Kluyveromyces lactis: one gene and its partner. The protein of the gene in region 2 interacts with the protein of the main gene of each other region in a biochemical or structural test. Links are inferred from orthologs where the notes say so. Each region holds a gene or a part of one and is shown on either strand. Other genes may lie near its edges.

Evidence for each region.
Region 1: of the proteins of PKC1 (region 2) and NEM1, one has a biochemical effect on the other in vitro, tested with the Saccharomyces cerevisiae proteins (2 studies listed by BioGRID). The link is inferred for Kluyveromyces lactis from reciprocal best matches to the Saccharomyces cerevisiae genes PKC1 and NEM1.

Annotation. Positions count from the first base shown.
Region 1 is NC_006041.1:1,651,481-1,654,516, forward strand, and holds NEM1 (Nem1-Spo7 phosphatase catalytic subunit NEM1), read left to right. Parts: upstream 1-1,411; coding exon 1,412-2,536; downstream 2,537-3,036. Other genes in the region: NAT4 (N-terminal L-serine N(alpha)-acetyltransferase NatD), read right to left, coding at 469-1,116. UniProt on the Saccharomyces cerevisiae protein: Catalytic component of the NEM1-SPO7 complex which acts as a phosphatase and dephosphorylates the phosphatidic acid phosphohydrolase PAH1. Essential for the formation of a spherical nucleus and meiotic division.
Region 2 is NC_006041.1:578,233-582,612, forward strand, and holds the start of PKC1 (protein kinase C), read right to left. Parts: upstream 2,923-4,380; coding exon 1-2,922. Other genes in the region: SEA4 (Sea4p), read right to left, coding at 3,703-4,380. UniProt on the Saccharomyces cerevisiae protein: Required for cell growth and for the G2->M transition of the cell division cycle. Mediates a protein kinase cascade; it activates BCK1 which itself activates MKK1/MKK2.

The DNA of each region.
Region 1 (3,036 bases), about 1.1 Mb from region 2:
AAAGTGTGACAGTGCACCCTATGTGCTGACCACCACTGGGAGCTGTAAATAAACCATTAAGGTTGATAAAGCACCACTGTTGAACGTCTTTTTAACAACCGAAGCTATGATAACTTCCCATTGATGTAATTAGACAGTTACATCAGAAGAATGTACCTTCAAAAGCTTAAATCGTTCATGCACAATAGAAGAGAAAGGGAACACAAAAAAAAAAAAAAAATAGAAAAAAAAAAAAAGATAAGACCCTGCATACATTTTAAGGGTTCCAGTTTCTCTAGGGCACATGCTACAAATTTCTTATACAATAGCCCGTTAGGAACATCCTCGTGGAATGTAAGCCATTTCAAAAGAATAGAGTACTTTTATTTATTGCGTTAAACCCTCTTTCCGTGTGGTTATGTACATATCTGTGCTCTGCATGGAAAAACATCTGCAAACCATTGCAGTGTAGGCTGTAAGGTCCTCAGATTAAGAGGCGCCGATAACCCTGCTCATTCCAATGAGATGCTCAGAGAACTCGACGGTAAGTTGGAACCCTAATCTTTTGTACCATCGACAGGCCACATCATTGGCAGTGAATACGCATAGTTCAATTGACGGACAGGTCAGGTCACGTGCAAGTGGGATAAGTAATCCATTGAAAATAAGAGACCCTAAGCCACGTGACTGGTATTCTCCCATCAGATGGATTTCGTATAGGAACAAACACGGCCGATTCAATTTGGAGTGGTCCAATTCTGGATTCAATGGGTCGGATAATGCCACTGATGTAAAACCTACTATCTTAGTGGTATCTCTCTTGAACAAAACAATGTAGACTAAATCTTTATCCAGCATTTCATCCCATTTGAACCTAATCCATTTCTCGTTTCCCTTTCCTTTATCGTCATCAGTATAATTGTATATCGATGAGCCATGCAGCTCGTAGAACGTGCTCAAATTCTGTTTTATAATGGCAAGGCACTTCGGAAGTGTGGAACCAAGATAGTTTGGATCACCAGAGTGTACTCTATTACTAAATACCTCGCACACAACATCCGAATCACCAGTGCTATTCAATTCTTGGCAGAGTACGCCTGCGACACGTCTCAAGTTTCTACTATGGTAATTGGACATGTCTTAAGTCCATCACAGCTGGTTATTGAAACAGAAGCTCTTTCTATTGCTATTATGCTTCACCAGCGCGTATTAAGCTCCAACTTTTCAACAGTTTTTGTTGACATATTCCATGCCACTACATATTTGAAGCTAACCAACCGAAAATAGAAGGGAAAAAAAAGAAGTAATATATACATTCAGTGAATCGCAAATATAAGGTCAAGAACACTGAACAGTGAGACATAGTCACAATCCTTGGTAGTGGGACGTTGACCAATCAATAGGAGAGGCTTTAAAACATAGCTGTGTTCCAATGAATGCGATCTCTTTTTTGTCAAATGCACTTCCTGCTCCGCAGGAAGTGCCGATCAAAGAGAAGGAGGGTATATTAGTGGATCCGACCCCCACGAATACCCAACCGAACAAAGTAAAAAACAAGACGACGACGGCGTCAACAACAACATCAACAACAACAACGTCAACAGCTACGAATAAAAGGAATAGACCGTTTATGAGATGGATATGGTGCATATTAATATTCCTACCAAACTATTTGCTAATAAAACCTATCATAACGATCTGGTACGTTATCACATTCCCATTGAATTTAATGGAAACCAACACGCAGGGGAACAAAGGATTGATCCAGGTAGGATCAGAAACTGACAGTAGGACCGAGAAACTATCGAAATACGTGGTAGAAGAGGATCTATCACCGACTGATGAGATCATAATAAACCAGGATAAGATGAAACCAAGACCTATTACAGAATATTTAGGGAAATTTCATTTCCCCAAGAAATTAGTACCCCAATCAATGCTACTTTCTACCAGTCGAAAGCTTTTAGTACTCGATCTCGATGAAACGTTGATCCATTCCATGAGTAACAGTAGATCGTTAGGGAACCCAACAGACAAGAACCCTAGTGGCACCACACCAATGATACACCTGGTAGAGGTACGATTCCCGCAGACAAACATATCCACGTTATATAACGTTGCCAAGAGACCGTATTGCGATATGTTTCTCCAACAGACGAGCCAATGGTACGACATTGCCATCTTCACAGCATCCATGAAAGAGTATGCAGACCCAGTAATCGACTGGCTACAACAGACGTGTTCGGTACAGTTTCACTACAGATGGTATAGAGAAGATTGCACACTTCGGCCTGGCGTCGGTTACGTGAAGGACATCGGTACCGTGGCAACCCAAATCGAAACGTCACGTGACCTCTCTCAAATGATTATCATTGATAACAGTCCTATCAGCTACGCAATGCATCTGGACAATGCAATACAAGTACATGGTTGGATCAACGATCCAAGCGACTCGGAACTACTACACCTATTGCCACTACTAAAGGCCATGCGTCACGTGACGGACTCTCGCTGTATACTTGCACTCAAATCAGGTAGAGCATCGATCTCCAACTAACAGTGTTATTACCCTGTCCATAATATAGTACTAATTTGTAGAGATGCGAATATGTAGACAAGCGATTTAGGAACCGAAAGTAATCCCTGAACCGGCATCCAGAAAAGAAAAAGAAAAGGGCTATGTTCCTCCAATTACTCCAATTATTCCGAATGCACCCGAACACCCAGACACGCCACTAGTGGCATACCTCGGATCAGACCGGATACGGAATACATACGCGCTGCGACACTGCTCTCCAATTTTCCACTGTACCACGTGACGCTTGATAGTTTTTTTTTTTTTCTTCACTCCTTTCGACCACGCGCTACTGGATCTTCTGCGGCGACCGCATTCTGTTCTTCCTTTCTTTCCCTCACTTTGATGCGATTCTAACAAGGCGCCAGTCTTTAACTTGGCGCTGTACACCTTCACAAGGTGTGTCTACTTGGTTAATACGTTGACCGAATTACGGTTTGTGTTAGGATATGGATCGTTAATAGCATATAGGCGTATTGTAT
Region 2 (4,380 bases):
CTTTATATGACCTTCGGGAGTTAAGAGAATGTTTTCTAGTTTCAAATCACGATATATAACACCATTGTCATGGAAGTACTTTAAGGAAAGTAAAACTTCTGCAGCATAGAACTTCGCTCTTCTGACAGATAGTCTTCGATTTTGGACATGCCACATCAAGTCGCCACCTCCAATGAATTCCATTGCAAAATAAATACGATTTTCTGTTTGGAAGGAGCAGTATAGGTTTGTCAGGAACGGATGCTTAGTTTCCGTAGCAAGCAAAAACACTTTCTTTTCTGCCCTAGCACTTTCAATATCATGGTTCTTGATGATATTATCCTTTTTCAAAACTTTAATCGCACAAAGGTTACTAGTATTTTTGGATCTTGCTAGCAAGACCTTACCAAAGTTACCTTTTCCTAATACTTTTAGTAAAATGAAGTCATCTAGAGACACCTTTCTCCTTTTGGAGGATTTTTTCTTATGCTTTGTACTGCTGGTGTATGATTTTTGTGGTGAAGATGGTGAACTTTTTCCTGTTATGTTGGCAATATCAGCGGCATGCAACTCAGGAGTTTCTGTCGTAGAGAGACTGTATTCGAGGTCCTCATATTGGGCTGGCGGTGAATATTGATCATCTGTGACATCGGCGGTTTCTTCAATTATGTCGTAATCACCCTTTTTGGTGGCAAGCTCAACGTCCCCAGTACTGTATGTTTGTTGTTGCTGCTCTTGTTGTAACATGTTTTGTTCATTGTACCATCTCTCTTCTTCTTCCTTTCTCAATCTCTCTCTAAGCTCATAGTGAGATTGCTCTGAATCGTCTAATTCCTCTTCATATCCATAATCTTGTACGTATCCGCTGTCTTGCTTATTAGGGTGCTTATTTTCATAATTTCCTTCATATTCTTGCGCAAAATGCTCTTGCGCATGAGCCTGCGGAAGATTACTTATATGAGCAGCATCGAATTGAATCTTTTTCATTGAATCAGGAGACAAACCGGGGTCCAAGCTATGTTGGTAATTCCCGTGATCTGGCGAGCTGGTTTCCACATTGCTGGTGAATGAGTCATAATGGCTATCATGTTGCGTTATAAAGTTATTCAAACGATCCGTCACTAGGTCTTTTCTTGCTTCTGAAGGCGTAGTTGGCTTGATAACGGATGTATGCATATCATCATGATCAAAAGAGGTCTCAAACCTGTTATTTAGCCCATCAAAGCCTTTAGAAATTGGTTTGGGTTTATTATTCACTTTGATGCCACTGAATCCTCTCTGCTGCTGAGTACGCTTAGTATCCTGAATAGTTAGCAAAACTTTGTTGGCCATTTCCATCGACATACCACAGAAATCTGGAACTAAATGAGCACATTGAGCATGGCACATAACCCCACATTCAGTACATTTTCTGACGTTCTTTCTACCCCATGGTAAAATATACCCACAATGGCAACACCACTTCGTACCCCGATTTGAAACAGGTTCAAACCTATGAGGGATACGGTGGTTAAGTTTCGTCTCGTCAGGATCTGAGTCGGTACTTGTTTTAGCAATACATTTTGTAACCACATGCGCGTAGCACTTCTTATGGCATAAGAACTTGCAATCCTGGCATTGATAGCCACTATACCGTAAAAATTCACCGCAATATGCACAGCACATGACATTGTAGAACGATTTTTGGACAAAATGGTGCCCATGTTGCTCAAAGATATCCTCTTTACGGTTGACAATAGCACCATGACGATGTAATCCACCCATGAAGGTCTTTCTTTGTGTAGTGTTTGACTTATTGAAACCAAGTGTCAATAATATTTGCCCGGCAGGTTCCAAGATGAACCATGTATTTGTGGTTAAACTCTGCGTGTGGGTGTCGTTTGCTTCTCTATCCTCCGTGGGGATTCCAGCATCGGGTAATTGCGGTAAATCCTTTGTAATTACAGCTGTATTATTCGCAGGTTGAGAAGGTGGAAGTCTAGAGGCCTGCATCCATTCAGCGTGGCTTTTTCCTTGCTTTTGCTGTTGACCGACTTTTTTTTTCCGAATTTCTTCAGCGATGTCGGCAAGTAATAACCACATGACAGCTACTGGTACAATTCTGTCATTAACCTTATCATATATTGTAACTTCTACCTCGTTACCTTTGTCTATGACTATGTTAAAATCTTCGTGCCACCTATCATTTCTCGATGGTTTTGTCTTCGCTTTTACCACATCATCGACTTTGATAGTAATAAATGTCTCTGGCTTTCTCGAGAATAGAGGGGATTGGATATGATCAACATCTCTAATTGCAGTAACACCGATAGTCAGAGTACCTGATAGTTGTTTTCTCCTAAACTTTGGTTGAGTTGCTTCTTCTGTGTGATCATTGAAAGGATCGATATCAACGTTGATGGCCTGATATTTTTTCAATGATTTTGTTAAGAGCTGAATCCTGTGTTTAGATTCAACAGATCCACCTTGTGCAGCACTGCTACTCCGCTGGTCTCCATCAATTTGGTAGAGTTTAGTTAACTTATCATTAGCCTCTTGATATTGCTTTTCAACTTGCAATTTGAACTCCAACTGCTGGAGCATGTATTGAATTCTTTGCGACAAAGATGGACAATCGTACTTTACCAGATCTAGTCTAGAGTATCTAAACTCATCTGGTGATATTGTAGATAGCTGACCAAAACCGGGATGATTGCTAGCATTCTGGCTGGTAGGAGTATTGTCTGGCTGTTGACTGACTCTCAACTTAGCTAGAATTTGTTCCAAGTACTCTATATTTTGTTGAGCCTCTCTAATATTGGTGTTGCATTTCTGTATGACCATGACATTATCAGTCTTTTTCTTCAATTGATTCGAACCCAGTATAATGTTTCTTTCCCTTTCGATCTTTTTGTAGATGTCCTGTTCAACAGGGAATGCAGTGTGTTTACGATCTTCATCCATAGTTTCATACAATAGTAATATCTTTTTATGCTCAGTTCAGAGTGTTCATACGTTAGATGGCTAGTTGGTGCCTTATAAGTTCATGAAATAGAATCAACGCACCACTTTGACAGGATCTGATCTGAAACAATTTCAAGCTGTGTTCGCCCAGAATACCAATATTTTAAGATCCCAAACCACTGAGAAAAAAATGTTTGTAAGAGAAATATTCAACGAAAAAAAAAGTCCCAACTAAACTGACTTAATAAACCGTTGTTTATAGTCGTTCTTTCCTTTAGTTTTTGGTATCCTTAAAGATATTGTTGAGATCAAAAAAAACCATATATTTGTTTGTATCTGGATAGATCAAACTTTTTATTTTCTTAGTTTCGCCACATGATTTCCTGAAATAGAGCTCACGCATTTCAACTGATCGGGGAATCTTAACTAGTCACGTGAAGAGGCTTGCGCTCATGCGAATGACGGTGGGCAATGATGGAAAAGATGGCTTTAAGTTCCATCGCTGAACCACGGTCCATCCTATAACTCGATGAATATGCTCGGGGAAGTTTTCCAAGTATGGTACTGCGTTGCTAGTATCATTATTTTGTGGATGCGTAATGATTCATTCTGAAAGCAACGTTCAGCCGCTTGATATCTGCATATGAGATATTTGTATGTACTAATAGTGGGAGAAATGAGTTTTTGGCGAGGTTAAGGATTAAAGAGATTATATACGCTGAATAACAAGTTTAATGATTTATCCTAGAGCGTTTAGGTCCGAAATATTGGTAGAGTGTTTCATTGATGGCATAAACACGAACACCCAGGAACAGGACAAATTGAATGTCTTTCAAACCATTCCTCTGCATGACCGGCATGCATACCATGATTACACTTGAGACAGAAACTGAACCATTCGTTCATTTTCAAACGCTTTCTTTCCTTGACCTCGTTAATTTTCGCGTCGTCATCGATTCGTACTTCACATGAGTTGGTGGTGCCATTGATGACTATGGGGAGATTTGAAGTACCCAATGGCAAGAGACAAATAGCACATCTTGGGAAAGGCGTGCCACAATGTGGACATGAATGTTTCTGTTGGGGGACATCACCGTTTGTATTATTGAGGCCGAATTTCTTTCCTGCATTTAAGTTTTGATTAGCATGTCTTGGTAGGGATGCATTAGAAGACACATCAATGGGTCTGTTGATATTCTTCTTACATTTGGAACATTGTAAATACATTTGACGAGGTTTTAACTTCGCTGTAATTCGACCATCACTAGTCCTAGATAATTTTGTCTTGAGCACATCGAACTTGGCCCTCATAGTGAAAAATTCCCAGGAATTTAACATATGGCGATATGTTTCAACCCATTCATCAACTCTTGGGTCCATGAAGTATCTTGGGGAGCCGAAAACTGAAATTAGTGCAGCAGTTTGAATATCACTAGTCTTTCCAACGTACGATTGTAG